3 linked regions of the Rhinolophus ferrumequinum genome follow. The protein of the gene in region 2 purifies or fractionates together with the protein of the main gene of each other region. This does not show direct contact. Links are inferred from orthologs where the notes say so. Each region holds a gene or a part of one and is shown on either strand. Other genes may lie near its edges. The genes, in order: EIF4G3, EIF4A2 and EIF3H.

The links.
Region 1: the proteins of EIF4A2 (region 2) and EIF4G3 purify together in Homo sapiens (affinity purification with mass spectrometry; 3 studies listed by BioGRID and IntAct, with this or other methods). This does not show direct contact. The link is inferred for Rhinolophus ferrumequinum from reciprocal best matches to the Homo sapiens genes EIF4A2 and EIF4G3.
Region 3: the proteins of EIF4A2 (region 2) and EIF3H purify together in Homo sapiens (affinity purification with mass spectrometry; 3 studies listed by BioGRID and IntAct, with this or other methods). This does not show direct contact. The link is inferred for Rhinolophus ferrumequinum from reciprocal best matches to the Homo sapiens genes EIF4A2 and EIF3H.

The regions. Positions count from the first base shown.
Region 1 is NC_046292.1:14,334,352-14,344,699, reverse strand, and holds the start of EIF4G3 (eukaryotic translation initiation factor 4 gamma 3), read left to right. Parts: upstream 1-6,317; 5' UTR 6,318-6,426; coding exon 6,427-6,620; intron 6,621-10,348. UniProt on the Homo sapiens protein: Component of the protein complex eIF4F, which is involved in the recognition of the mRNA cap, ATP-dependent unwinding of 5'-terminal secondary structure and recruitment of mRNA to the ribosome. Functional homolog of EIF4G1.
Region 2 is NC_046285.1:58,771,899-58,782,578, forward strand, and holds the start of EIF4A2 (eukaryotic initiation factor 4A-II), read right to left. Parts: upstream 4,951-10,680; 5' UTR 4,924-4,950; coding exon 4,895-4,923; intron 4,083-4,894; coding exon 4,025-4,082; intron 3,942-4,024; coding exon 3,809-3,941; intron 3,705-3,808; exon of another isoform or gene 3,636-3,704; intron 3,535-3,635; coding exon 3,395-3,534; intron 2,649-3,394; coding exon 2,480-2,648; intron 2,375-2,479; coding exon 2,265-2,374; intron 2,227-2,264; exon of another isoform or gene 2,100-2,226; intron 2,040-2,099; coding exon 1,896-2,039; intron 1,853-1,895; exon of another isoform or gene 1,675-1,852; intron 1,589-1,674; coding exon 1,451-1,588; intron 1,398-1,450; exon of another isoform or gene 1,266-1,397; intron 1,201-1,265; coding exon 1,111-1,200; intron 1,082-1,110; exon of another isoform or gene 941-1,081; intron 892-940; coding exon 812-891; intron 351-811; exon of another isoform or gene 240-350; intron 1-239. UniProt on the Homo sapiens protein: ATP-dependent RNA helicase which is a subunit of the eIF4F complex involved in cap recognition and is required for mRNA binding to ribosome.
Region 3 is NC_046297.1:55,674,533-55,685,557, forward strand, and holds the start of EIF3H (eukaryotic translation initiation factor 3 subunit H), read right to left. Parts: upstream 5,274-11,025; 5' UTR 5,239-5,273; coding exon 5,107-5,238; intron 1-5,106.

The sequences.
Region 1 (10,348 bases), on a different chromosome or scaffold from region 2:
GCCCTGGGATGGTTCCCTGGATCTACTTTTCCCTTTCTTAAGAAAAATGCTGTGCATTTTTGTTCAGAATTGACCAGCAGAGAGAAAAGCAGTGTCTTCCAGGACTTTTTTCCAAGTCAAGTTGTTATTCTTTCAGTGTTAGTTGTGGAGAGCGCAGCTCAGCTCCAGGTCCAGTTGCCGTTGCTAGTTGCAGAGCCCACTGGCCCATGTGGGAATCGAACCGGCATCCTTGGGAGTTAGGAGCATGGAGCTCTAACCGCTTGAGCCACGGGGCCAGCCCCCAAAAAGCAGTCAGTGTCTTGATGATGACGGATATACCCAGAAGGAATTAATTCTATTTTGCAAACAGGCATTTGCAAGTGATGTTCAACTTGAAGGACAGGCTAATTCTGCCCAAGTTGGATCAGAGAATGGAGTGCTAAGGAGTCAGAACATGGTAACTGTGCTCCATCCTTTCCATTCTCCCCTAGCTCCCGTGACCTGTGTATCCATAGCATTTATCATTTTGTTAGTCAGTCAACAAATATTTATTTGGCACTCCAATAAGTGTTTTCTTTTTCAACATCACCAAGGAATTCTCAGACACCTGCTGGGTGTCCTACAATTTAACTCAATTCTGACACTGTCTACCTGAAGATAGCATCAGATCCCACAGGTTAAGGGCTCAATCCTACAAGACTACCTTCTCCTCTTCAGTTGTAATTCCACGTTGTCACCTGTGCTGGCTAGAGATCAGAGGTTCCCACAACCCCCTTCTTGGATTCTATTTATTTGCTAGAGAGGCTCACAGAACTCAGAAAAGCATTTTACTTACTAGATCACCAGTTTATTATAGCAGGATATAACGCAGGAGCAGCCAGATGGAAGAGATACACAGAGCAAGGCATGGGGAGAGGGGTGCAGAGCTTCCATGCTTTCTCCCAGGGCACCATTTTCCCCAGTATTTCCATGTTCACCAACCAGGAAGCTCTGAGAACAGTGTCCTTTTGGGTTTTTATCAAGGCTTCATTACGTAGGGATGACTAATCATTGGCCACTGATATTTGAACTCAATCTCTAGCCTCTCTTCCCTTCCTTCCCCTAAGTCAAGGTCAGTGGGTTCCCCTGGCAACCCCCACTCCTAGGTGACCTAAGGGCTTATTAACATAAGACACGTTTACTCCAACTGAGAACGGAAGAACAGCCGAGGGTTCTGAGCACAGAAGTTACATGATCTTAACTTTTTGATGTAAAATAATTATGGGGAGTATTGAACTTGTAGGTCCAGTTACCTATCTCTCTTCCCCATTATATGTGCTCTCATAGTCCTTTCTAGGGGCCCAACCCAGTGTCTGGCACATAGCTGTCTCTCAATAAATGCTTGTTTAATGATTTCTGAAGCCTGGCTGTCACTCCAGAAGGACGCACTCAGGGGGAGGAATGGGCAAGGCTTGAAATGGGAAAAGACCAGGGCGTGGCATCCTACTTCTTAATGAGAAGATGGTATCAGATAGAGAATCACCTTGGCTTAGCAGTGAAGGGAGAGCATGAGTTTCAGTCCTGGTTCTGCCGTTCACTTGCTTGAAATAGGAAAGAAGGAACCTGGTTCTGCTGTTCACTTGAACTTGAAATAGGAAAGAAGGAACCCTTTCCTATTTCTGGGTTCTAGCCTTAAACCTGGGTGAGTTAATCCCTAAGGCATCTTCAATCCTGACTAGAATCCATTACAATATTTTTTAAAAATTGTGGTAAAATACAAATAACATAAAACTCATCATCTTAACAATTGTATGATAATATTTTTTGCTTCCTCTTGCCTCCTGGTGAAGCTGAATTCTCTGTAGCCATCAGGCCTGGTGGGGGCTGTGGTCACCTCCAGGAATAGCTGAGAAATGGAAGGTCCCTCTCACTGTGGGCAAAAGGCTGGGATCACCTGGTCTAGAAGTGACAGTCACAGCGAATTAGAGAAGCTACAACTCTGCCCTGGAGGGAATGGGGAAGCAATTAAGCTTTGTTGCGGGGCTTACTATGTCCTAGGCCTCTAGGCCCCGGAAGTACTCTCTACAGAGATGCTCTCTACAGAGAGCCCCTTTTAAGTCTTGCTTTAATCCTTTAGAGGCAGACCTCCTGCTTTCATTTTGCAAATGGCTCAAAGTTAGGAAACTTGTTTAAGGTTGATCAGCTAGTCTGTAAGGTTAGAATCCAGATCTGTCCTAAAGTTTATAAACTTTGAAAGGAACCAGCACCCTCACGTCCAAAAGGCGGAAACAACTCAAATGGGGTCTGTGAGCTGGCGCAGCTCTTTACTGAAGAGCATTAGTGGCTGATTACAATCATGCTTCCAGTATAGGGAAGGGGGCAAAATATTTCTTTACTTTTTCCACTTGGGCTTCTCTCCTCCTAGCCATATCCACTTCAGATGGGTGCCCTGCAGTCTCTCCTTCTTTGGTTTTTCTAACGTTTCCTTTTTATTTTTTTTAACCCTCTTCGTCTTCCACGTCTGTGTCTTAACTGCCTAGAGTCTAGATCTTGGGCCACTAAGGCCTTGGGGGATGTTGGCTTGTCTCAGAGTGGAGGACCTAATAATATATAAACCCTCTGTGGCTATTAGAGACGGCTTCTGTTGGCATAGCAAGGGTTGTCTTTATGCTAGAATGCCAGTCCCCTCTCCCCCTACCTCCAACCAGGAGGAAAAATGAAGGGGGCAGAGCACTCCAGCTTGTAACAATATTTTCAAAAGTTCAAATTAAAGAAATTCAGGGGTCCCCCGACTCAATCTCCAGTTCAGAGAAACAGAGCTGTGACCCCACGTGATCACAGATAAGCAAAGCACCGTCACCCAGCCTTGAGGAGATGTATAAACCAAGTCTCCACTTGTCTGCGGCTCTTCGAATGAAGAGGGAGAGGTATATTTATTTGGGGGTTAGGGAATGTAGGTCTCTGCTGGAGGCAGCCTGGTGGGCTCTGGGAACAGTGGATGGCTGGTTAAAGATATTGCACTCCTCTGTGGGCTAGCATGGCCTGCTCCAGGATACTCTCGCCCTTCTTTCTTCTTGCACAGTGAGGCCCAAGACTTCTCCAAGGTAACATGAAATCCTTTGGCAAGTCACAATGATTCTGTCCTTCAGCAAGTTTCACATCCTATTAATTGACTGCTAGATATCAGGGATATATTAGTTGACTAAGTAATGTTCCCCTGTAAATGAATAATAGCTAAAACGTATACAATAATTACTATGAGCCAGGGACAGGGCTAAGCGCTTTGCATTTGTTGTCTTAATTCTCATGCTAGGAGGTAGAGTCTCCATTTTACAGATGAAGAAACTGAAGCTTGGAGAGTTAAGTGATTTCGCCAAGGTCATACAACTAATAAATGTCAGGGCTGAGAATCAAACTCAGGTAATTTGATTCCAATGGCTGTGCTCTGACTCGTTAAATACTGAGAGTGCCCTGAGAGCTAAGCACCCACTGCCAAGGGAGCTTAGAGGAGAGGTACCTCGTTCAGCCTGGGGAGTGGGGAAAGGCTGTCTGGAGGAAGTGAGGTCTGAGCCAAACAGGAGCAGGAATTATTAGCCAATGGGCAAAGGGGAGAGAGGATAGTTTGGGGTTACAGGTAGTAGGAGCAGTCTGCAGACAGACCCTAGGGCAAAAAGGACCAAGGTAGCTGCAGCTGTGGATTTGAGGTGGAGAGTGACAGTAAGGAAGCAGAGGCCAGATTCTGAAGAATCTTGAATTTAGACTGGATCCTGTTGGCATGGAGGCTGTCAGCTGGCAAGTTCACAAAATCAGCTCTGCTTGTTGACTGTGCCTCTGGCCACAGTGGGGAGGTTGCTTTGTTGAAGGCACATGGCAAACCAGACCTGGAGTCAGATGCCTTGGGTTTGAATACTAGTGTTTCTACTTAAAAGTATTACACAAGTTACTTCTTTACATTGTTGAGCCTCAGTGTCTTTATTTGTAAATGGGATATAGTAATACCTGAAAAGTTGTTGAGGGGAATGAGTTAATCCAAACAAAACGTTTAGCAGAGTTGTACACTGGCAAATAAGTAGGGGTGCAATACATCTGAGCTGCTCTGTATGAGAGGGGTGGTGTTGAGCAGGGCCAGGAAAGAAAAGAGCTCTGCCTTTTCGACTTTGCTCCCTATGAGCCACCCTTGATTGCTTCTAGCCAGAATCTTATCAGGGACTTTTACAGGATTTTGCCCAAGGCCTATCCGTTTTAAGAGAGATAATGCTCATAAAGTGCTTAGCAAAGAAAGACCAGGCACACAGTAATTGCCAGATGCTTGTACCTATTATTAAGTTAGAAAGTGAAACTAGCTCAGAAAATAACAATTAAGCAATTATCAGTCTGTTGTCACCCTAGTGTAAATGAGAAGCCAAATTCTTTTCTGGGAACAGGTTTTATTTGGGATAAGGAAGTCTGAGATCCCAGAACATGCAAGGAGAATCCTGGGAACTGAAGGACCACTTGGGACTTTTTCCTGGAGCTGGTCAGAGAAGAGCAGCAAATCCAATCCTAAATCATCAGGTGTTACAAATCCAAAGGGTTTGAGGAGTTCCTGTCTTCTAGTCTGGAGATGGGGGACAAGGCTTCCTGTGGATACCGTGCCTGAAAGATGCGGTGGGGGGTTGTGGTATCACTCTCTTCCAGATGGCTCCTTTCTCCCCGAGGGAGGAGCATTCGGGGCTCAGTTAGGAGAGATTTAATTAATTAAGCACCCACTGTGTGTAGAGCTTTATGTGAATTAAAAAATAAAAATAAAAAAGGAAGTCAGTGTGAAGCAGGAGTCAGAACTGGACTCTAATTTTGTGTCCGCCAACTATACTCTCCACATGACCCTGGGAAGGTCTCCTGTGCCTTTGGGCTTTGCTGTTAAACGATGGCATTGAGCCTCGGTATCTTCATTTGTAAAATGGGTACTAGCTATTTCACAGAACTGTGTGCGATAATGAATACGGAGTGCTCAGTGCCTGGTGACCACCATCACCTGATTCCTCCCTGCGGTTCCTTTCCACTCAATGGTCCTGTGCCAGGGACAGGGCCCATGCTGGGGGAGGGTCGGGGGGGCGAGGGTGTGGGAGGGTCTTGGTTGGTCCCTTGGTTGGGGAGAAAAGGAGCTTATCCACAAGTGTTACCCTGGCATAGGACACTGGGGAGCTGACCACTGGCTGCTGGTCAAAGTACGCTTCAGTCTTGGGGTCAGTCCTTGGAAGACTGCATCCACAGAACGCTCAGTCAAGGTTGCTGATTAGATAAGGCGGGTCGGATCAGGTCCCAGGCAACTTGGGAGGCGGCAAGGTTCATCCAGATGAAGGGAGAATTCAGATGCAGGCTTGGCTCTGTCCTTTCCTGGCTGGGTGACCTTGGGCCAGTCACTTTTCCTCTCCCAATCTGTGTGCTGGGGAAATGGCACTCCTCATTTCACTTACCTCTCAGATTGTACCAGGATGAAATGTCGACATAATGGACGTGGTGAACTGCGAATAAAGGCCAGTGAGGGCTATTTGTTATGCTAATAGGCGCACACTGTCAGTTTCTATCCAGCGGTTTCACTCTGGTTAGGCGGTTCCTTCCACAGTAACCGAGGTTCCTCGCCTAACAGCTCCCGCCCCTGCGGGCAGGGCTCTGCGGACCGCAGGCTCCTGGGCCGTTACCATTGTTCTTCGGGGCTGGGCAGCAGGGGAGGACTCTCGCAGACCAGACCTTGCTTTTGGTCTCTCCCTCCGCCCCGCACCCCCGCGGCAGCGAGCCTCGGAAGCCCCCTAGCCGATCTTTTCCGAGGAAGCGAGTCAGCCCCAGAGCGCTCCCGAACGGCGGCCGAAGACGCCCCCGAGTGTTTCCGAAGAATCCCGACCACTCTCAGTCTCCGGAAAGAGCCGAAGGGGCTTCCCACCCTCGGCCTCCCGAGCCACTCCGAAAAGGCCCGAAGTTTGCCGAGCGGCCGTCCTGCCGGACTGCTGGAGGCGGCCGCAGCGCCATGTTGGATGCTCTGCTCGTTGAGTGAAGAAAATCCGCCGGCATCGCCTGAGCCCCGCTACCGAGAAGGGCGCCGCTTCCCCCGGGGAGGGGGATAAAGACCCCCCGCCGCCGGCCCATGAGGATATTGCCGTGAAAGGTCCGGTCTCTCCGCCTCCTGCCCCCGCCGGGTCCGGCCCCCCCCCCGGGGTCGCGTTGTCACGGAGACCGGCAGCCGGTGGTGCTGGCCCGCGGGGCGGCTGCTGCTGCCGGCGGCGGCGGCGGCGGCGGCGGCGGCGGCGGCGGCGGCGGCGGGCGTGTGTGACCGGCCCCGGCCCCCTCCTCCTCCTCCTCCCAGCCTCCCCCCGACCCCCCGCTCCCGCCGCCTCCCCGGGTCTGCCCCCATCCCGCCCCCCCGCCGCCCCCGGCCCCTGCACCCCGGCGCGCCCGGTCCCGCTCTGGGGGGGTTGGTGGCTTCGCTTTGCCATGAGTTTACCGCAGAAACCGGCTCTGAAATCAGGCTCAGCGGCTGCAGCAGGAACCGGACCCGGCACAGGAGCGGCGGCGGCGGCGGCGGCGGCAGCGGTACCGCCTCCTCACCCGGCGGCGGCAGCGGCGGCGGCGGTAGCGGCCCCTCCTCACCCGAACATCAGGGCCCTCCAGACCCAGGCGCCCCAACAGTATCCTTTTCACGTACTGCCGGCCCTTCGGCTCTTCGCGGCAGAGCAGGGGGGCTGTGGCCCCGCCGGGGACTCGACTGCTGGCTGCCACAGCCCAGCCGGGCAAAGGGCTGCTCCTCAAGCCCGGCCGGAGCTTTTGGGGTGCCCCGGCGGCGGCACTGCGGGGCTTCCCGGGACCCTCTGCAGTACGATGAAAACTAGCTCCACTCGGCCTCGCCTCTGCAGCCCTTCCCTTTTAGAGCTGGGGGACCCTTCCTCCTTCTCACCTCTCCGCCCTCTAGCCCCCCCCAGCCCCCCTTTTATTAGGCAAATTTACTGCCTGGGGCCTGGGACCGACCCTGCGGGGAAGGTTTTCCTCGGATTGTTGTAAGGACTACACCCTCCCCGTCTCCCTTCAGCACCTCCTGCAACGGGGCATGGCGGGCCCCTAAGTAGTATTAATACATAATAAACTTGATTGGTAAATTTCCTGTTTGAAACTAATCAGCTCGTTTCGGAGGTAAGTTGGATTTTCAGTCTGCGGGGAGAAGGGACAGAAATCACTCCCTCCGGCTAATATTTTGTAGCGGTTGGGGGAGTTGTGATGTGGTTTGTGGTGGAACGCGATCTAAGGAGGAAATGTTACACCGGACGCTTCCCTGTCTTTGACCTTTTTAAAGGAAGAGGAAGTTAACTGACATTACCCATCACCCCCAAAAGTCTCGCTTCTTGAAAGGCTTGTGTTATGGTCAATATTTTTAAGAGCTTTAATGTACTCTTCATAGGCCCGATGTCTAGAAGGGACCAGGGATCCTGGAGTAAAGTCTAGTATGGCCTGTATCTAATTTCATGTTATTTGCTCGATTGTAGAGTGTTTGGACAGCTTTGATTGAAAAGATTTGGTAAGGAGGTAGTTCAGTCCAAAACTAGCGGGTGAAAGTGAAACTTGGAGTTCATCGTGAATTCCAGGGAGATTTAGAAAGGTGTTTACCTACCTGAGAAGAACATTTCATCATGCTCCCCCCCCACCCCCCACCCCCTCCCCCGCCATCCGCTGTATTTGTGTAAATCAATATATCGTTGGATGTTAGATGTGTTGTGTTTTTGTATTTGTGTCATCGTGTGTTTGACTTTTAGAGTGAGGATGTTTGAGCAAATAAACTTAACTGCTGTGAGTTCCACAGATTATTTCCCAGTGTGGTTTGATTCTTGTCTGTATCGATTACTTTCAGAAGGGAATGGCATCACCCTTCTAGAGTCATTTCAGGTCATCCTTTTGGTTTCTATCAAGTGTCCTTTTCTCTTGTTCTTTAAATACTGTGAGTCCACATTTTTGTCAGTCCAGGCAGTGTGGCTCAGAGTAAAGATAAATTCCATTCCAGTGTGATGTGTGTACTGATTTCACAATGTTTTTACCCTGCATGATTCTGTTCAGTTAAGAATTGTTCACTGATGAGAATGCTTAGTGATAACTTACTGTTACTTTTGATCAGTATTCCTGTTGTTTTCCTGTTGGGGGGGGAAACGGCCTACATCGTGGTGGAGTTTAGTGCTGCATTTCTTAAACATATCTTCACTTAATGCTTTGTGAGTTTAAATTCCTTTCTAATTTGCCTTTTTATTTGTCTTGATTACCCATACTTAGTTAGGGCTGTAAATTTCTAGACAGTGCTCTCAAGTAAATTATTCTTTAGCCGCATCTTTGAGTTGTTTGGGCAATTAAACAAATGAAAGGAAGCCTATAGTATGTGTTCTTGATGTACAAAGTGAGAAGGGCCATGATGCTGAATATGACAGTGCTTGGTGAATTTGGTGGTGCTCTTTGGACACAGAGCTGTGTTTCAAGTATGCTTTTTCTCCATGCATTTCACAAAGGAAGGGCTCATAAAAGCTCTGAGTTGGTGCAACAGAAAAATTGTGACTGCAAAAGTTAAAGAGGATAAATTTAAGATGTAACTTCCAACGGAGATAATTTTTAAAGCTATCTGTGGTAATATATGACACTTGGTTTTATGTGACTCTTAAGTTTTTACTTTGCCTCAGGTCATGGAAGCTAAAATTAATTTTCTTCTTGAGGTATTTCACAACCCTGTTATCTTCTGTTTGCTTTACACACTGAAAGGTTACGATGGCTAAAATCTAAATGTTTGTATAGTAAATGAAATACAGTTTACAGAGTTCATTAGAACATACTAGAGCGGTGAAATATTATCAATGGTAATAGGCATTTTGGTTAAACGTGGATTAAAACAGAGCAATTTTGTGTACCCAGAGGGAGTGTGAGAGTTTGTATTTGATGACAGCAGTCATCGTGTAATAGGTTGATATACATTGAAGCATTGAGACGAGTACAGAGTTGGAGTTGCTCTTTCTGTGGCTTAATTAAATCTCCATTTGTGCTTGAATTGAATCAGTAAGTTCAGATAGTATTTTAAATTTGTACACATACTAGAAGGGGATTCACGTGACAAGGTGTCCTTTATTTGTACTTAATGTTCAAGTGACAAATCAGAAATGAAGGGAGATGGTAGCGATAATGACTTTGCATATAAACTGCTTAAGTGGCATCAGTATCGCATGGCAGGCCCATAAGGCCATTCTGGTAGAAGCCTTTGACTGCAAAGAGGCAAAGGATGGGGGGGGGCGGTGAAAGAAGGAAAACACTGATATGAAAAGTGCTAATGGCAAGGGAGAAATACGCTTAGAGTTTTCATAGCATGATCCAATATGAATAGTTCATGAAACTGGTCCTTCAGAATACTTGCCTTGAGATATGCTCACCCTAGCTTCCCAACGTGAGATTCCAAGAGGCTCTGTTGAGAATGTTAAGAGTGATTCTTAACCTTTTCTGGGTAACAAACACTTTGACATTTTGATGAAAGCTTATAGACCCTCTCTGCAGAAAACTCTCCCTGCACAGAAAATCTTGCGTACATTTTCAGGGGGTTTTTGCACCCCCACTCCATAAACAGCCTAACCTTTTAGATGGAAATTGCTTACCCTTCAGATAAGTAAAGATTAATGAGTTTGAATTTAGGTGCCCAAATAGTTCTGACTTAATAGAACAATTTTGCAGTCTGTTATGAATACACAGTGTTCTCTCTATTTATATGGAAAGACTTCAGGGTGTAATTTCTCTCAGGGCTGCTGACACTTCTGGGGAGTCTAGTTACTGTTTTGGGGCAGCCAGTTTGATTAAGAAAATCAGGGCAGTGGGTTCTTTGAAGGAACTAAATTTGGTGAAGGCCTGTAGTGACCTAAAAATGATCTGTGTCCTCAGTTATTTTGTTTTAGGTATGGATATATTAAAAACAAATACTCCCCCCTTTTTTTTGTATGATAATTTTCTTTTTTATGTTTTCTGTGTTGATTTTCAGTTTTATCTTATTGGCTGAAGCCAAGTAATGTTTGCTTTCTTCTTTTTTGTCTGTTTACCGAAGCTAAATCTGAATATTAATAGTAGTATCCATTTAACGAGCACCTATTGTTCTAGAAGCCATACATGTGTGATTTTATTTAATTCTCACATGAACCCTAATGAGGCAGGTACTACATATATTTTATAGATGAGGAAACTGAAGTGCAGAGAAGTAATGTTCCCAAGGTTGTCCATCTAGTAAGTGGTGGTCTGCAGTTCAGACCTTGATACGACTGGCTCCAAAGCCCATGACTGTTCTTTTTACTGTGCCATGCTGTACCGTACCAAGGCTGCACGTGGGAATGGGAGGAAGGGTACTTTGCCTATTTGA
Region 2 (10,680 bases):
TCCAGTGGGAAAACAAGTATTTGGTATGGTAACCCAAACTCATCACTGCTTTTTTGCTCATTTTCACACGTTGTAACTCAAATTACTCAAACGTGTTTACCTCCAAAACAACTTTCTACCTTCCTCATAGAAACCAGACAATACAAACCACCTAATAGGCTATAATATACAAAAATGCCTTGGCCGGAGCAACTTAAAATATCAAATAATCATGACAAAAGAAAAACAAATATAAATACCGACTCGCTCTTTATTCAAACAGTGTGCTGTTTCGCTTATGATTCCACGTCCTAAATTACGTCAACGCCGTTTCTGAGTGCCATCTCGTCATCAACTGCGGCTATCGACTCCTGTATTTTTTAAAAAGTCTTTTTTTACATCACATAACAAAGTACAATTCAATTTATTTAGGGATAAAGCCACTATAACTAAACCAGGGACTGCTCAAATTGCTACCAGACGACACCAAGAAAATCCCAACTATAAAGGAAATCACCAAGAAAGCACATGGACACACAAGAGCATCACTAAAAATAAAGCTCAAAAATATGCTAAGACCAACAGCTCTAAAGCAATCTAATCCGTATGTATGAAAGCCCACAATTTGGGCAATATTTACAACCGTTTTCCCACTGTACATGACCAATCTTCCCAAGTACAATTTTAATTACATCCTACCAAGTTTATTGTCTACCTACTGAACGAATTCCCTGAATTGAGGTAACGTTTCAGACAAATCAGTCAACAGAATGAAAAGGCAACACATGAACTTGTTTTACCAATACAGTAAGTCAAGGTGCCACCTACTCACCTGTGAATGTAATTTTCACGATTGGTAGGTAGATCATAGTTTATAACCAATGACACTTGTTGCACATCAATCCCACGAGCCTGAAATACAACGGTATGTTTAAATTTAATTAAATAACTAGAGATCTCTAATGTAGGCCACAAATTAGTAGTGAACTATATGTTTAGTGATATAGTCCACTGTGGAGCGTGGTCTTTTCTTTATTCTCCCAAACAGTCCAAGTTGGTAAAGGTTATTGAAAAACCTTCCCCCCAGAAAAGCTTTTGGTAGGATTAAGAAACAGCAGTTAAGAGACTTACCAACAAGTCAGTGGTGATCAGAACACGACTTGACCCTGATCGAAATTCTCTCATGATAACATCTCTTTCCTTCTGGTCCATGTCACCATGCTGCAAATTAACAAACCTTAATTCCAGAATCACTAGTCAAATCAGTATTACTTAACTTTACTGAAATGTATGAGACCAAGCGTCCCTGGCTGCTACAGGAGTTTAACAGACAGGTATAGTTAAGAAACAACTTTTTTTTGAGCAGGGGGAACGACAACACAGCACTTAACAGCTATATTGTAGTCTAAATCCTGCTTTAATGAAAATATACACATTGTAATTACCATTACTAGGTTAGAACACCTCTTACCAGAGCGGAAACCGTGAAGTCCCTGGCATGCATTTTCTCAGTGAGCCAGTCCACCTTGCGCCTTGTATTGAGAAAAATAACAGCCTGTGTGATCGTCAGTGTCTCGTACAAGTCACAAAGTGTATCCAATTTCCACTCCTATAATATTTCAAAGAAAAAGTTAATCATTAAAACAATTTAATTTCCAACTTACAGCCATTAGAAATTCAGTTAAGTCGGTCTAGACATATTGCACCAAATCTTGAGACAAAGGACACTGGACATTAAGAAAGAGGTCCACCCCAGTCTTTACAATCTAGTGCAGTTACTTTTCTTCTTGTGTGTACTCTGCTAGCATTATTGCAAAAACCAAGATGTGATCCCAGTTTCTGCAATTTTAGCACAGTGCTTATACAAGAAGGTAAAAAAAAGTGGCTACATTTTTATGTTTAATTAGACACATTACCTCTCTTTCAACGTTAATGTAAAACTGTTTGATTCCTTCAAGAGTCAATTCTTCCTTTTTCACCAGAATTCGAATTGGATCTCTCATGAATTTTTTGGTCACTTCCAATACATCAGTTGGCATTGTAGCAGAAAGCAACACCACCTTAAAAAGACAATGATGTTGTCACACAAGTAGCCCAACTTTCAAAATATTCAAGAAAACATGTTTGAGACCAAGCGTCTCTGTCTTGCTATGGAATTGTGCTAGACAGAGATAGTTTTGCATCAATTGCTGTAAGCAGGGGGAACGACAATAAAACACTTCAGTTGTATTGTAACAATACCTGCATTAAACAATCTCCAGATATGGGTGAAAGGTAAAGCTCACCTGAATACTTGTATTTAATTTTTGGAAAATCTCATAGATTTGATCCTTAAACCCTCGGCTCAACATTTCATCTGCTTCATCCAAAACAAACATTTTGATCCATTTTGGAGCTGTCAAAAACAAAGTCATACTATCACTTCTAGATTCTCAGGGATACTATTTGTGTTTATTTATAATAGCAAAAAAAATGTACGCTCTCAATAGACAGTACTTACAAAGATATCTTCTGTTTAACATATCAAACACTCTCCCTGGTGTGCCAACAACAATATGTGGTGCTTCAGCCTGCAGTTTTTGCATTTCATTTCTAACATTGGTTCCACCAATGCAGGCATGACAAGTTGCTCCCATGTAGTCTCCAAGTGCCAGGATTACCTTTTGGATCTAAAAGCAAAGAGCCTTAATTATTTTCCAGCAGAATTACAGGCTGTGATTAAACTTTTAAAGCATAATGGCAAATATCTGGTCTGCAAACAGCTTTTATGCATGCAACACACTTAACTACTTCCAAGCTTAATATGCAGACTGATCTAACTGCTTCAAGGTAAAATTCCCTTAAAATACTTCTTGTACCTTGTCAAACTTAGGATCCTGTTGCCCCAGGTACCAGCTAGATTTATAACTAAAAACATTTCCTTCGTTACTCTTCATTGTGTAGGAAGGTGTAAATAGTGGGATCAAGCTCTGCAATTACAACCTAGACAAGATACTTTTCCCACAGGGCAGTAACATATAATCTTGACTTTAACAAAGCCTAGCTTTATTAGCGAGGTTTCCTTCAAAGCCAATATAGATAGCAGTGAGCTTTGAAAACATCGTGCACCAGATGCATCACAAACTGAGACAGTCAAGTGATAACATGTCACTGCAGTTTTCATGTTGCACAACTGCATTCAAAAAAATAGGAATCTAGTCCACCCTAAACAGAAAGCTTTGGTTTCTCCATTATAACCCTGTGAACCATACCTGCACACCCAGTTCCTATTTACTTTCAACAAAAACTCCCTGCATGCACGGACAGTTAAGAGGGCTCTGATAGGACCAATTTATACTAAGCTTTAAATTTTTCAGTTGTGAAACTTGAACCTATGCAACACGCAAGCAGTTTTTTTGAACTACACTATCAATACCTGTTGAGCCAGTTCTCTGGTGGGGGCCAATACTAGTGCTTGGGTCTCCTTGAACTCAATCTCCAACTGTTGCAGGATGGAAATAGCAAATGTGGCTGTCTTGCCAGTACCTGACTGAGCTTGAGCAATCACATCATACCCTAAAAAAAGTAGGATACATATTTACCGATCCCACATCAAAAAGTCAATTCTAGTTCACACCATGTATTCCATTTGGAACATGAATTATGCCCAAATAATTAAGTGATCAGCAATGAGTATTCTCTTCATTTCAGGTCAGTCCCGAAAGATGATTGCCATCATTTCACTTTAAGGAATACAAATAGGTGCTAGACCCCCAGAAGTTATTTTCCCTTTTATGGTGCAGGTCTATGTAAAACAATGAATTTTTTTTAAACTGCCGAGTTCTTTTACCTTTAATACAAGGAATAATAGCTCTCTGCTGAATAGCTGAAGGCTTCTCAAAACCATAAGCATAGATGCCCCGAAGAAGAGACTCCTTTAAATTCATATCGTCAAAGTTATCAACAATTTCATTCCAGTTGCTCTATAAATTAAAAATAAGTAAAAATAAATAGTATGAACAAACTCACCTTTCCAGAATTTCAAAATCCACACACAATTTCTTACCTCGATGACACCATCGGGGTCCATTCCCTCTGGGCCGCCATGTTCTCTGCAAAGAACACTGCAGTTAGATTAACAAGCCATCCTAACTGCACATGAGGGGATAGCCCTTTACAACCAGTCTATCAGGTTACCCTCCTCCTGCACGTGTGCATTTCCTACTAAAAAAGCAATGGAAGCTGGTGGCACAGGGCACATAATTTACTGTGCACCTGCCCAAAGGTTGAGAACGCAGGACGGACGGCAAGGCCCCACGGACACTGGCTTTCCCCCAAGCCCTTGCGCCAGGTGCTGCCGTCTCGGCGGCGGGCCGTCTCGCGAGAGGTCCACGCGCTGAGCTCCGCCCCTAACACTGCGCAAGCCGGGGTGATTGACGCGGGCCGAGGCCTGGCGAAGGCCATGCCAACGGCTCGCCGAGACCCCGTTGCTGGTCTGGTCCCAGCGCGCCTTTTGGCCGCGGCGAGTGGGCGCCGCTGTCACCCTCCCCGCACCCCACCTTCAGTCTAACATTTCAATCGCGCGGTTCGCTGCAAATAAAGCTTTGGGCCCCGGTTACACTGTACCGAATGCGGACTGCGCCACGGCTTTAACTAAGTGTCGGGCTCCGTACGGGCAGGGGAAGCAGCCGAGATCTAAAAGGATCTTCAGGAAAAAAAGACACCCTTCAACCACTCCATTTTCGTACCCTTATCTCGTGTCCCCTCGCTCAGGGGCTCTACCCATCATGGAAGCTTCTCGAAGGACACAGGGGTACCTTACCCCAAGGAAATGCCTATGAACCCGGCGTTCCCTGACTCCACGCCAGCTACTACAATTTCCTCTGGCGCCATTTGACCTTCACCACAAAACAGCACCAACGAAAATGCCCTGTACCTGTTATAATCCGCGGAGCCACCAGACATGTTCCGAAAAACCACTCAGCGCCCGACTGAAAAGACAGTCAGACCGCCCCACCCGTTTTTTATAGGCTCGTGGCCGGAACCCGTTTTCTGCGGAGGAATTTTCTCGTCGTTCTTCATTAGCCACAAAATTGTGGCCCTGGTGTCCTTACCTCAGAAAGTGTCCTCAGAAGGTCGGTGGGAAAATCCAAGTTGGTTATGTCAAGATATTACAGGGACGCTGGGAATCCCAGGACCGTAGGAGAAGGATGGGACTCTTTGCTTGGCGGCGGAAGAATATTGCAGCAAGCGGCGCCGACCCGCGTTCCCCTCCCTCCCTGCTCCTACGGGGTTTCCGCGTCCCTGAAGCAGAGGCGGCCCCGGGGAGCCGGGCAGGACCGGGAGGCGGAAGCCCGAGGCGCGCTGCACTCTGGCTGGCCCGGGCGTCCCCGGGGGCAGGAGGGCCCGGGCTCATTTTTCGCCGCTGGCGCTTGGTGCGGAGAGGCAGGCACCTCCACGTTCTGCTCTAGAGGGAGATCGGGTTTTTCCGCCCGATTAAATAGCTGCGGGGAAAGGTTATTTAGTCAGACGGTAAAGAGCCGCTTGGCTTTGAGCCCGAGCGTTTAACATCCGTTCCGATTGTAAAAGTGTGAAACTCTTGCTAGGGAAAATGTCGGCCACCTAGCACGTCCCAGAAAACCGGGTTTACCCTGTATTGTGCAGGGCGAGAAAAACCGTGTGTCATTTGCAAATGTCTCTGGAGTAGACAATTCGATTCTCACGTTGCTTCTAGTCTTCTCTCGCTCTTTAAAATAATGCTAATAATTTTAACAGGTGTGAGGAATACCTGATAAAGTCATTGTAAACTTTTGCAAACATATAATAGCTAAGGAGGATTACTTTTCCTTGTAACGCAAGAATTTAAATGGATGCTTCTGACAGATACAGCTCCTTGCTGCTTTGGGACTAGATAGGTTTTGACTCTGGTCATTAAAAAAACTAAACAAATTGAATTTAATTGCTTATACATTATGAATATTGATTTGCTGAAGATGAGAGCAACACAACCCTTGCTGCTTGAATAAACTGCCTGATTCTTTAAGCTCCTTGAAGTTTTCAACTGTAGCTCTAACCGAGGCCTGTTGGTAAAAAAAAAAAAAAAAAAAAATGTATTTAGTATTTAGTCATTTAACTTTAAAATACAATCCTACACATGCTGCAAGATATCATCACAAATATTCAGGAAAACATTTTCTCATTAATTCGGAAGACCAACCAAAAGTCTGATAACTGTAAAAACTGACGCTTAATTTTCTACATTTGTATATCATATTTGATATATTTGGTTATAAATACCACATGTATTTTTTAAATCATTAATTTATTTATTTGAAAATTATTATCGTGCCAGGAACTGTGACAGAAACTAATACCATGATCACAAAGTGGACTTGGCTGTCAGTCTAGTGATGCTATCCATCCCCCTGTAATGCTGAAATGCAGATTTGAGGTAATGCCAGACATTTTCTAGGAAAGGAAGTCAGAGATCCTTATTGTCTCATGTAAAACCTACTGAAAAATCTTCTGGGATCTAACAAAGTGGAGAAAATACTAAATCAGGAAAGTGACCAACCATTTAGTCTCACTTAAGTCTTTAGGGTGAAATCACTCAGTCATAGGGTGAAATCAATTAATACCTCATGGTTGAGTGTTTTAGGTTTAGCACTACCATTGCAAGCTGTGGAGGATTTCCAGAGTCTCTTAAGAGGAAATAATCGAAGGCTAATCTCTGGTTTAGGTCACAGTGGTTCAAGTTGTTTTAAGGAAAGAAAGTTTCATAATTTAAAATTCAGTCAAAATCCAGAGCCTGCAACCCTACAATGTATTTCTAATGAATGGTGTGCTCACCACATTTGTATTTGCTTACTAAATAGCATTAAGTAATAAATGAGTTAAAGACTTAAAACATACACAAGTTTTGCAAATCAATTTAGAGCATACTCTTGTACCGTTGAGATAAATTTTTCTACTTAACTGAGATCTGAAATTAGATAGCCTTCTCGGAGACAACCACAAATGCTTTGGTGCTAACCTGGAGTCTGGAGGCCATTTATATTTCAAATGATGCTAAAAATCAGATTCCTTCCTTATGTGAGCCCCCCTAGTTTAGATTTGCTCTTCAGTATCATCAGCTGACAGTCCTAAACCCATCTAGCAATTGTAAGCCAATTGTCACCAAATGAATCAAGGAATTAGTACAAATTTGTCAGTATGACATGGAAAAACAATAACAAAACCTTTAAGAGTATGCTTTATGTTGTTAGTGACATCTTTCTATAGAAAATACCATGTATTTTCATCATTCAGGGAGTGTTGTGTGCCATCTTGAGGTTCTCACATTATTTCAAGTCCATCAATTGATTTGAAGTGATAGCTGTACATTTAAAGCAGTGTCTTGATAAGCTTTTGATATGCAAAAGTTTGTTAAGGTATGTGTTTTGGATCTTCAACTCATTTATTACTTATTAATGTCATTTATTATTTAGCAAACACCTAGTATAATACATGCTGTCCCTCCATCTATAATTTAAATGTTTAAAAAGAACTGCCTTGAGCCGGATAAAGACAGTAGTACTACTCATCTCTTTCAGTTGCTGGAGGAAATTAGAGGCTAGATTGTGCTTGAATGTAGGCAGTGTCCACTGAAGCAATTTGGAGGGTGACACTCAGTGTCATGTGCTTTACAATAACTTTTAAAGCCATTTACATAAAAATAGGTAAAGATTTTAATAGAGTTGAAGAAAATGGAGAAAATTGAAGAGGACCATGGAAAGGACTTGAGCTATGTAAAGACTGAGTTTAAATCCATTAATTCAAGATTATTAAACTCTATTGTGTAACCAAGATATGATTAGACGTTTTTCTAGCTTTACCCTTATAAAGACTAAAATAAAAATACATTACTGTACTTCAATTCAGTACATCTATAACTGGTATGCATAAAAATCAAAGGGGAGATGTATTTGAAAGGCAGATACATGTGGACTCTGCACTCCCACCCAGATTCAGGAGATCTGATCTGAGGTGGAGCCAGCTTTTTACTTTGAAAAATTCTAAACTTAAAGAAAAGTTGCAAGAATAAAGCAGTGGATACCAAGTACTTGTTACACTTACCAACTGTTAACGGTTTAATACATTTACTCTCTCTCTTATATTTATCTATGACTTTTTTTTAACTTTCTGAAAGTCACAGACATAGTAGTGTCATTTTATTCCTAATAAAGTAATTCAGCACTGCATCCTAAAAACAAAGATATTCTCCTTTCGTAAAAACCAAACAATCCTATTAGAACATGAGCAAAAGACATGAAAAGACGTTTCACTGAAGATGATTTACAGATGACAAATAAGCACATGAGAAGATGTTTAGCATTATGAGCCATTTGAGAAATGCAAATAAAAACCACAGTGAGATATCACTATACATCTACTGGAATGGCTAAAATAAAAAATAGTGACAACACCAAATTCCAGCAAGGATGCCGAGAAACTACATCAGTCATACATTGTTAGTGGGAATATAAAATGGTACAGCCACTCTAGGATCAGTTTGGCAGTTTCTTAACAAAAAACTAAATGTGCAACTACAATATGATGTAACAGTTTCACTCCTGGGCATTCACTCCTGGGCATATGAGAAATGAAGACGTATGCTCACACAAAGATTTGTGCATGAATGGACATAGCAGCTTTATTTACAATCGCCAAAAGCTGGAAAAATTCACATGTCTTTCAATGGGTGAATGGTTAAGCTGTGATTATATCTATACCATGGAATACTAAGTAATAAAAAGGAAGGATCCGTTTATTGATACACACACAACCTGGATGAATCTTTAGACTATTATGCTGAGTGGGGAAAAAACAAAACAATCTCAAACGGTTACATACTACATGATTTCATTTATATAATATTCTTGAGAAGACAAAATTATAGAAATGGAGAGCTGGTTAGTGGTTGCCAGGGTTTAAGGAGGGGGTGGGGCAGTACAGAAGTGAGTGTGGCTATAAAAGGTGAATAAGAGACATCCTTGTGGTGAGGGAAATGTTCATATTTTGACGATATCACTGTCAATATCCTGGTTGTGATGTATTGTAGTTTTCTAAGATGTTACTTACCATTGGGGGAAATGGGAAAGAGTACATGTCTGATCTTACAACTGTATGTGATCTACAATTATCTCAAAAATTAAAAGTTTAATTAAAAAATAGAGGTGCTTCCACAATCTTTCCAGCTCTTAGTCAGAGAGGCCCAGAGATAATGCCTACCCAAGAAGAACCCCAAGTTCAGTTCAAATTTGTATTGGTTGGTGATAATGGGACTAGGAAAATTACATTTGTGAAACATCATCTGACTGGTGAATTTGAGAAGTATGTAGCTACCTTGGGTCTTGAGGTTCATATCCGTGTGTCTATACCAACAGAGGACCTATTAAGTTTAATGTATGGGATACAGCTGGTCAGGAGAAATTTGGTGGATGGAAAGATGTCTACTACATCCAAGCCCAGTGTGCCATTAAAGTGTTTGATGTAACTTTGAGAGTTACTTAGAAGAATGTGCCTACCTGGCATAGAGATCTGGTAGGAATATGTGAAAACATCCCATCATGTTATGTGGCAACAAAGTAGCTATTATGGACAGAAAAGTTAAGGCAAAATCAATTATCTTCCACCAAAAGAAGAATCTTCAGTTACTTTCTGCCAAAAGTAACTACAACTCTGACAAACCCTTCCTCTGGCTTGCTAGAAAACTCATGGAGACCCCAACTTGGAGTTGGTTGCCATGCCTGTTCTTGCCCCACCAGAGGTTGCCATGGACTCAGCCTTGGCAGCCCAATGTGAGCATGATCTAGAGGTTGCTCAGACAACTCCTTTCCCAGATGAGGGTGATGACCCGTGAGAAAGGGAAGCTGGAGCCCAACATCAGAAGTCTAGTGGTATAGGCAACTGTCCTGTGATGTCAGTGGTGCTGCTTGTTTGCCACTTTATTAAATAGCTAAGCAGAACATGTGCTTAATTTTTGGGATGCCAAAGGAGATGAATGGGCTTTGGAATGAATGTGGCAGTTAAAGAAAAGACCCTCATTTTTGGGACCTGCATATTCAGCTGTTTTGGAACGCAGTTGTTTCCTTCCTGAGTTTCAAGTGCAAGACTGCTACACAATATTCAGTGGTGAAATCTTGTTTATTACTTTCATTCCCATTCCTTTTTGTTTAGAATCAGAATAAAGTTGTATTTCAAATATCTATCAATAAATGAATTAATTAATTAGTTAACTGCTAAAGGTAACATGGTATTATGGATTGGATCCTAATACAATAAAATGAGAGTGGAAACAACGAGGTCACTAGATCTGTATGTACCAGTAAGGGAAGCTGTTCAAGATGTATAGTAAATGGGAAAAGCTCATTGAAGAACATTATATTTGTGTAGTAAGATCCTATTTGTGTTAAAAATGGATGGATATATGTATAGTTTTATGCAGAGAACAATGTTGTCTTAGTCTGTTTGGGCTGCCATAACAAAAGACCACAGACTGGGTGGCTGGAACTTCAGGAATTTATTTCTCACAGTTCTGGAGACTAGGAATCCAAGATCAAGGTGCCAGCGGGGTCCGTGTCTGGTGAGAGCTCTCTCCTTGGGTGACACATGGAAGCTTTCTCACATCTCCTCACATGACCTTTCCTTGGCGCATTCTATGGGGGGGTGGGGAAGGGAGCT
Region 3 (11,025 bases), on a different chromosome or scaffold from region 2:
TTAATCTTCATTCAGAGTCTACTTAGTCTCATGCTATAAATAATGCTAACAAGATTGCTTATATGGTTTCTCATTCATACTAAATGTAAAGCTGGAAATCAAGGGGGGAAAAGACAGATAAATTTGACAACAAAAATAAAAGGCAGTCAACTTGATACAAAGATAAATTACACTCAAAGCACCTAAAATTCAAAGACAGGGGACCTTTATTATACAAATAAACACATAAATACCAAGGGATTCTTGAGACTCTTGTCCAGCATGTGGCAATAAATTATGTTCTTAATAATACTAAGTCATCAAAACATGGTTAAATTGTGTTCAATATTCTCTGACTAAAGAGGCAGAAATTGATGTAATAAACACACTTCAGGAAGATTTATAATTAAAATGACTGAAATGTAAAAGTTTTGCATGCTTGAATTTAAAGTTATCTGGCTGAACTATTCACACATGTGAAGCAACTGATTCTCCAAAGAAGTCAGAAAAATGAAAGAAGCCAAGAGTCATACAATTTTTTTGTTAAAATATTAAAATAAAAGGCCAAACTATATTCCACTTGAAACTAGGATTTCAGACGAGAGCTTCCATTTCATAGAGTTTAACAAACTATTATCTAGTCTCTTTTAACTTCATATTGTGTCACAAAAAATATATATATAGTCATACATGTTATGGCCCAGTATAAGCACTTTACAAATTTGAATATTCTTTTCAGTTCACAAAGCACTTCCACCAACATTTTCTCATTACTACATCTAAATAATCATCAGGCAAGTAGGGCAGAGATAAATCTACCCTCAAAGCTGGTGTGAGGATCAGACATAATCTAACCAAACCGTCCTGCACAGGATCTTCTCAATAGTAGATGTTCAATTAACACTAGTGATTTTTCTACAGATAAGACACTGACACCTAAAAGGCTGAAGAAATGTGAATCTAACTGGTCTTCTAGCCTCACTCCTGTGCTCCTTTCTCACCAACAGACTATATAAATTTCTACAAAGCATTTTACTAACCATGTTTCCTCATGATTCATTTTCAAGAAAATTTCTGTACCACAGGACTGTATTATAATAATTCATTCACAGTATGAGTGCTTTCCATGTGTCAGTCACTGTTCTAGGCACTTGCAAATACTGAAGTGAACAAACCTGATATTGATTGGTCCTCTCGGATAGTAGATATTTAAGTGTGAGAACACAAACAAGCAACAACAAGAGAACTTCAGACAGTATCAAGGGCCCAACAAGATGATATAAGGGTCAGTGAACTGATGGGGCCCCTTTAGATTAGTCAGAAGGTACCTGTGAGGTGACATCTGAGCGGACACCTGAATAACAAAAAAGTGTATGTAACTCTGACCTTTTCATTTATTAATAGCACTCTCTACCTTACTTCGAATAAAGGAGAAATCAGGTAGCTAACAATTGTAAACGAGGAGGTAACTTTCTTACATAAAGGGAAAAGAAAATGTAAAAGTAGTAGATTTTGATGGCCATGGGTTTTAAGCAGTGGAACTTTGGAAGGCAGAAATGTTTTACACTTTAGCCTTCAGATCACCTCAGTGAGAAAAACTACATAAACAGTAAAGTGTTAATTAACAGTATATGATCACAGGCCAAGATGAACAATACAAAACGTCATCATAAAAAGTTCAGAGAAAGGAGAGATCAATGTGGAGCAGAGCTGTACTTCTCTAACATGATATGCTATAAATCATGTGATACAGCAGGTTGGAATTCTGAGACACTGTATTTCCACGGTTCTAACAAGATACCAAGGGAGGCCAATTCTGCTTGTCTTACTGGTCCATGGACCATACTTTGAGTATCAAAAGTATAATAAGAAACGTAAGAGTCAAACTGGTTTCAGGGAATAAAGCGGGCTTTACATGAAAAGTTCAACAGGAAGAATTAGCTTGATCTTGTCTAGGAACGATGAGACCATTTGACTACATACAATGAAGATCCACTCCTCCATTCTATAAGGATATACTGGGCACTGACTCTGCACAGGGTGCAGAAGACACACTGACAAGTCTAATAGAATGGACTAGTTACGATTGTGAGATACAATTTCACACAAGGAAAACAGCCATGTAATTGTCCATTAACAGTCAGATGAAGAAAATTACACATATTCATGCAATGAAATGCTATATTGTAATGAAAATAAATTACAACTACTCACTCTAAAATGGACCAATCTCAACCATGGTGTGATACAGTGGTACCTCGGTTTTCGAACGTAATCCATTCTGGAAGACCGTTCAAGTTCAGAAATGTTTGAAAACAGCCGACAGCTAGGCCTTGGGATCTTGCACTCAGCGGAAGCTGTGTAACATGTTCGACTTCCAAGAAAACCGAAGCATTTACTTCCAGATTTACAGCGTTCGTAAACCGAAAGGTTCATCAACGGAGACGTTCGAAAACCGAAGTACTACTGTATATGTATACATATTACTCAAGACACAGGAGAACATACTATGATTTAATTCATATTTATTAATATAAATAGGCAAACCTAGACAAGTTGTTTAGGAATACACTGGTAAAGCTATAAAGAAAACCAAGAAACCACTGAAACAAAGCTCAGAAGAGTAATAGGGTGGGGAGAAGGGATGGGAGGAAAGGATGAAACAGGGAAAGGGGCTTCAAAGATATTTGTAATGTTCTATTTCTCAAACTAAATGGCAGGTGACTGGCTATATTGTGATTATTGAAGTTATGTATTATAGACACTACTTTGCATGAATGATATATTTTTGACTTTTTTTTTTTACACTTTGCTAATGTTATGAATGATCTTTTCAAAAACTAAGTTAGGAAATAGGTGGTGGCAGATTCTAATAGCAGTGAATTAAAGAAACAATGGAAGACGACCAATATAGACGATTTGTAACCACTGACTTCAAGAGGAAAAAAAGTGGGGATTAAGAATGGAACAGAGAGTGCCAAGAAAAGAGACAGAGTTGAACATTTTAATATAGGAAAGTCCTGACAAAGGTAATACTAAAGATAGAGGAAATGATGACACAAGACCAAAGGTAGGAAAGGTTCAAGAATACAAGAAAAATTGGTCTTGGCCACTATCAAGGTGCCAGGAACAAATGAGGTTAAACATTAGGTCTACCAAATAGTTGTGTGTGGCTAGAATGCACAGTTCCTAGGAAGCCTGGAAAAACTAGGAAATAAACCTAAACACAAAAAGGAGGACAACATCTTGGTGGGCCTTGAACTCAATGCAAAATCACTGAAAACATTTCAGGAAGGAAGTTAGTAAGATGTGAACTTTCACATTAAGTCAATGTTTTAATAAAAGTATGAAGGATGGACTGAAGAGGGCTAAGACAACAATCCAAGGTACCATTAAAATAATTGATCAAAGAAAAGCATCAGGACATAAACTAATAGCAGTACAAAAATAAAATGTAATCTTTTATTCATTCATTTATCCTATCTATGTCAGTGAACAGGCTCAGTATTGGGAATTACAGGTAACAAAAGCATAGTCTCTGCCTGCCCTCAGTAGCTCTCATTCTGGTGGGGGAGACACACAGGACAATTACAGACAGTGGACAATGCAATGAAAGAAATACAGGGCGGTGTGATGGAGAGTGACGGGGGGAGGCTACTTCTAACAAGGTTGTCAGGCAAAGCCTTTCTTGAGATGGTGTTATTTGAGCTGAGACCTACAGCATCAAAGGAAGCCACCAAGAGGGAAGGAATATTTGAGAGACTATTTCAGACAGAGAAAACAAAGAACTGAAAGGTCATTGTGACTGGAGCCTAGAAAGTATGAGGTGAGTGTGGAGAAAGAGACAGGAGTAGCAGGACCTTGAAGACTGTGGCAAGAAGTCTGTATTTTATTTTTTAAGTGGATATGGTTGGTGGCACACAGATGAGAAGCAGACGACTCTGATGTATTTTGAAGGTGAAACCCCAAGGATTTGCTGAGACTGGATGTTGAGGGTAAAAAAAAAGAATAAATGCAGGTGAATGCCTAGGTTTTCTGACTTATTCAAATGGGTAGATGGTAGTTCTATTTATTAAGGTGGGAGAGACTGAGGTAGGACCAATGAACGGGAGAGACGAGTGAGGGGAAGAAGTCAATAATTCTATTTCGGACACGTTAAATTTGAGGAGCCTATAAGATATCCAAATAGTGATGTCAAGCAGGCAGTTGGGTATTCAAGAGTGGCATTCAACAACCAAATCTGGTAAGAAATATAAATTCAGAATATAAATACGGAAAGCCACCAGGAGGGTCCTTAAAGAGAGTCTACTACTATAACTACGACAAAAACCAGCAGCAGCTAAGCGGAAGTGGAAACCTACTATGTCCCAGACATCGTGCTAGTTATTGACACGTTCAGCCAATTTTAATCCTCAAAACAACTCGGATGAGGAAAATGAGGCATAAAGACATTAACTTGCCCAATGTCACTCAGCTAATTAGAGGTGGGATTCAAACCCAAGCAGTGTGGCTCCAGAGGTGTGCTTTTAACTACAGTCCTTGGTTACGGTATGTCCAGCAGAGACCAGATAGAAGGAGGCTTAAACCCAAATCCTGAGGCACTCCAACATTCACAGATGGGGAAAGAAGAAACCAACATAACAGATGTTTACTCCAATTATGCTGTTTCAGGTAAAGCTCTGAACGATAGGCTCAAACGTGACTACAAAGTCAATCTCCCCTTGGGAAGTTACAGATGTCATACTCCAGCAGGGAAGCATTCGTTTACCTTCCTCTGCCCTCCCCAAAGCCCTAGAGTCCTAGTTCCTTCTCGACAGTTCCGTCACCTACTCGTCTTCCAGAGACGTCTTTCTCCAAATCCCCTCTGCCAAGCATCACAAAAGAAGACCCCAAGAATCTGTCACACACACACCCCCTTCGCCTTGTTCCCTCTATTTCCCCGTCAGATGGCACAGAAGGCTGTGGCGTCTCCCGATCAAAAGTGAAGATGAAAAACGAGGGTTTCAGCGGACAACTTTGGCCCAGCCTCACCGAGCCTAGAGGAGAAGCTGCCGGGGAGCGCTTCAGGCGGGACTGGCGTGGGAACTATGCTCCCACGTGGGCCGGAGGAGACGGAACCCCACTCACCAAGCCATCTATCTGCACTTGCTTCACGGCCGAATCTCCGGACCCGCCTTTGCTTTTGCCCTTCCCTGCCGCGCCGGCAGTGGAGCTGGAAGAGGTGGTAGCAGAGCCGGTGCCTTCCTTGCGGGACGCCATCTTTCCAGCCGGACAGGAAGAGAGAGAAACGTGAGTAATCGGAAGCGGAAGTACAAGCGATTCGTGACGTCGTGCGCAGTCTGGCGTTCGAGGGGCGGAGCTGGGAGAAAGAGCTGGCGTAGGGCCCCGCCTCCCATCTTTGCCAGCCTCACCTCTTTCCCCACAACAGAGTCCTTTGCACACGCGCATTGTGCGCTTGCGGCTTCCCCTTAGAGTCCTGTAAGAAGAAAGTAGACTTTTAAAAATGTTTTCCACTTCATGTTGGCAACTGATCATAATAGCATTATAGATCACATTTATATAAGGTCTCATGCGTAAAAATGCTTTCACTTCTAATTTTTTGATTAATCCCCATTCCCAATCTTATAAACCATGAACTGTATTAACTCCCATTACACTTATTAGGAAAGTGAGACTCGATTTATCCAACATCATTCTGTTAATTAGCCCTAAGCGGTATTGCAGTTTGTCTTATGTAATTTTAGATAGCGGTCTCTACGTAGATTATATAAAAATTAATTAAAACAGAAACTTTGATCACAATTACCAGAACTAATAGCCCTTTGCTGCTATTAGTTTCATGTAGGATGTACATAAGTACCAAGAAGTTGTTTTATGTGAAGTGGTGATGTGGAACATATTTTCTAAAAATCATGCTGACTTATCTAACACAGTTTGAAATACACATCTCAAGTCTTTAAGAGAGTAATTTGACAGTTTTAGAAAACCATCTTAGATGAATTTAAAACATTCTCCACTTCCAAATACAGTGCCTAGTCCTTATTTTTGAAATGTTTACTCATTCAATAAATACCTAGGCAGAACCGATGAAGTGGTTATACCAATGAAGGCTATTTCTTGCCCTGAAGATTTTTTATTGTGAGGGTCTGGTGTTATATTACAATCTGAAAACAGGAACAGTTACACCTGACAAAAATTCCTAATGCTACAAAGCAAAAAGTTAATATCCATTCTTTTCAAGTGCTCATGAAATTTTTATCAAAACAGACCACAACCTGGGTCACAGGGACCATCTCAACAAATTTTGAAGTGTTGAAGGTTGATTATAGTAGAATCACACTAGAATCAGTAAAAGAAAGATAGTCAAAAAGAAGAAAAACGAAGAAAATCCATCATGGAAGAACCAGAACTGGAAATTAGTGCCTATCATTTGGCAGCCGGAGTGATGAGCACCAAAAAAGCAGGTTATTTACAAACAATAATTATTGTTTTATCCTACAGCGTATATAACAGTTTTGTTTCAAAATTAGAACGCCAATATTACCACTAACAATAAAACTGGTAAGTAAAGTTTAAAGTTTCTTTGCAATATTTTTGTCCTTGGAAATATCCCACTAAGATTTTCCAGTCATGTGTGCTAATCACACTATAGGTTCTTTTAACCTGACCCAAAAAAGTGCATGTGGGCCTTCTGCTTGAAATAGTCCAGAGCCAAGAGGTACAAATACAGATGGTCCCCACCTCACAATGGTTTGACTTATGTTTTTTGACTTTATAATAGTGCAAATGTGATACACATTCAGTAGAAAGCATACTTCAAATTTTGAATTTTGACCTTTTCCTGGGCTAATGATATGCAGTATGATGCTTTCTTATGAAGCTGTGCAGTGTGGCAAGATGCACCTCCCAGTCAAGTTTATGATCACGATGGTAAACAACCAATACTCTACGATGTACGGTGTTGCCAACATCTTTTGGATATTTGGCTATTGAGCACACTTAAGATAGGCTAGACTAAGCTATGTTAGGTAGGTGACGTGTATTAAATGCATGTTCGGTTTAAGATATTTTCAACTTACAATGGGTTTATTCGGAAGTAACCCCATCACAAGTCAGTCCAGGAACATCTGAACAGAGAGAGGGAGGGACAGAGGAAGGAAGAGAGAAGAAGACCCATGAAGTAGAATTTGAAATAGAAAATCAATATGATCACCCTAACTGGAAAGGGCTAGAAGCAATGTCACTTCCTTCACTTGGTTTCCTGGTTTCCTTCCTATCTCACTGGCTGTTCCTTTCTCAATCACCAACTGCTGATTTCTCTACTCTTTCCCAGCCTTTAAATATTGAACAGCACCAGATTTCAGTCCTTATACATCTTTGTTCCCTTATCTTTATTCCCCATCATGGTGATCTCATCCACTCTCAAGGCTCTAAACTTCATGCATATGCTGATGATTCCCAAATTTATATTTCCTCAGACCTCTCCACTGAACTCCGCACCAGCATCTCCATCTGCTTATTCAACATTCCCAGTTAAATGTCTAATAGGCACTTCCGACTTAACCTTTCCAAAATTGAGCTCCAAATACTGCCGACAAAAAGAAATGTTCTTCACCCAGTCTTCTCCCCTCTCTTTTAATGACAGCTTTATTCTTCTAGTTGATAAGACCAGGACTCTTGGGGTCATCTTTCACTCCTCTGTTTCTCTCAACCACCCACCCACCTACCCACCTCACCCCATCCATCAGAAACTCCAGTAGGCTCAATCTTAAAATGTATGCAAAATCTAGACTTTTTCTGTGGGAAGAAGAAAAGCTATTTTTTCCTACTCCTCCCAGTAAGTAGATACGTCTACATCCCTGGACATTGCATATAAAAGAAAAATAAGAAGACTCTGCAAGGTGGAGGGACGAAGGAAGACTGGCTGGGGATGTTGGGACCCAAAGAACAACACAGTGGTGATTTCCCAGGGTTCCTATTTGCCACATACATCCCATACTTGGAGCTGAAGTCCAGCAACATGGAAACATCAAGAGGCACAAACAAAAACAAAACCCCCAGCCAAAGTCTGTTCGCTGTGTGCACTGTCAGTGGAGACCACGTAAGGAGTTTGAACGTTCACCCTCACCAGACAGCAATGAAACAGCAACTTCATCCCCCCAATGGAATGATGTCAGAGAAGGCCTAGTGGAGAGTCAGGATTTTACCACAGCAGTAAGGAGGCCACCCACCCCATGAAGGAAGCGTGGAGAGCAGTAAGAAGGCACTCCTACCCCTTCCATCCAGAAGGTATTGGTGGAGGCCTACTGCGAGCTGGAACTCCTATCTCCCACCAGTAACGGGAAACTATTCTTGCACCTGAGGGAGTCAATGGAGGCTGAACAAGGAACTTCTATTTGCTCCCTCATAGGGCAGTAACAGGAAGAACTCCCTCCTTCCATTGCCAGAGCTGTGTCAGAGGAAGCCAGCTAAAATAGAAGGGCTCAAAATCCAAAGTTCCTGAACAGAATACACAAAAGTCTATCAGGAAGATTTCAAACTGAATGAAAAAAAACAATCAATAGATGCCAACACTGAAATGATAGAGATGTTAGAATTGTCTGAAAATATTTTAAAGCAGCCACCATACAATTACAAACATACTTGAAATGAAATTTCAGCAAGGAAATTGAAAGTCTCAGCCAAGATATAGGAAATATAAACAGGAACCAAATGGAAATTTAGAACTTAAAAAAATACAGTAACTAAAATGTTTTATTTTTATTTTATATTTATTTTATTTTTTTAACTCAGTGGATGGGCTTAACAGCAAAATGGAAAGGACAGAGTAAAAAAATCAGTGGATTGGAGATGGAACATAAAAATTACCCAGCCTGTACAAAGAGTAATAGAATAGAAAATGATATAGCCACTGTGGGAAAGAGTATGGCAGTTCCTCGAAATATTAAACTTAGAATTACCAAATGATCCAGCAACTCATGTCTAGGTATGTACCCAAAAGCATTGAAAGCAAGGACTCAAACAGGTATTTGTATACCAATGTTCATAGCAGCATTGCATATAATAGCCAAAAGGAGGAAACAACTCAATGTCCTTTAACAGATGAATGAATAAACCAAATACAATGTATACATACAATGGACTATTATTCAGCCTTAAAAAGAAACAAGAGTCTGATACATGCTACAACATGGATGAAACTTGAAAACATTTTGCTAAATGAAATAAGCCAAACACTAAACAACAAATATTGTGTGATTCAATTTATATGAGGTATCTACAATAGTCAAATTGGTAGAGAAAGAAAGTAGAATAATGGTTACTAGGACCTGGGAAGAGGGAGAAATAAGGAGTTATTGTTTAATGGGTGTAGAGTTTCAATTTCGGATGATGGGAAAGTGGGAATTGTTGCACAATAATGTGAATGCATGTAATGGTACTGAATTGTGCACTTAAAAAGGTTTTAAATGTTAAAATTTATGTTACTTTACCACAATAAAAAAAAAGGGGAGGATTGAAAAAAAAATCCACAGAGTCTTAGGGAACTGTGGAACTATAAGAAAAAACTGTAGCTGTCCTGGCATGGAAGTCTCACGAAGAGAAAAGAAAGAGAGCATGGGTTAAAGGTATTTGAAGAAATGATAACTGCAAATTTCTCAAATACTAGGGAGAAAGTCATAACCTACAGATTGAAGAAGCTTGAGTGAACTCCAAGCAGGATACATCACACCAAGACATATCAGAGTCAGGCTTCTGAAAACCAAAGAAAAACTTTTGAAAGCAACCAGAAAGAAACAACACCTTACTTATGGGAGAAAATCAACTAGAATGAAAGTGGATTTCTCATCAGAAACCACGAGACCAGAAGGAAGTTGCATAATATTTTTAAACTGCTAAAATAAAAAGAACTCTCAACCCAGAAACCTGTATTCAACGAAAATATTGTTAAAGAATAAAAAGGAAATGAAAACATTTTTGGATGAAGAAAAACTAAGAGAATTTGCACTAGCAGACCTGCCCTAAAAGAATGACTGAAAGAAGTTTTCTAAAAAGAAAAGAACCAATAAAAGAAGGAACCTTGGAACATCATTGAGGAAGAAAATTCACAATAAACAAAAATATGGATAATTACAATAGACTTTCCTCCTCCTTTTGAATTTCCTAAAGGAGGTTAGGGTTAAAGCAAAAATTATAAGTATCTAGTATAGTTCTAAATGTATGTAGAGGAAATATTTAAGACAATTACATTATTAAAAGAGGCTGGTTAAGGGACAGGAAGGTAAAATTTCTACATTTTAACTGGTAAAATGACTTAACTGTAATAAGTTATTCAAATCTAATATAATACCTAGGAAACCACTAAAAAGCTTTACAAAGGGATACACTCAAAAATATCCCAGATAAATCAATATGAAATTTAAAAAAAATTATTCAATAGCCACAAGAATGCAATAAAAAGAAAACAGGAATAAAAATAAATAGAAAAAAATAGCAGTCTTAAGCCTAAACATATTAATAATTAGGTCAATATAAATGTTCTAAATATGCCAACTAAAAGACAACTATTGATAGAATGGATAAATTCAGACTTAACCATAGGCTGTCTAAAAGAAACTCACTTCAAATACAATGATATTGAAAGTAAAATGATGGAAAATTATATGCAAACGTTAATCAAAAGAAAGCAGGAGTGGGCATTATTAGTATCAGATAAAGGAGAATTCAGAGCAATGAAAAATCACCACAAACAGAGAGAGACATTTTAAAATGATATGATGGTCAATCACCAAAAATACCTCGCAATTCTAAATGTGTATGCCCCAGCTAAAAAGCTAAACTTACGCGAAGACAAATTCATAGAACTCAAAGGACAAATAAACAAATCCACAGTCATCATAATTGGAGGCGTCAATTCCTCTCTCTCAACAACAACTAGATAGAACAACTAGAAAGAAAACCAGCAAGGATATAAAGGAACTAAGCAACAACATCAATCAGTAGGATCTAATCAACATTTATAAAACATTCCAACCAACACATTCTTTT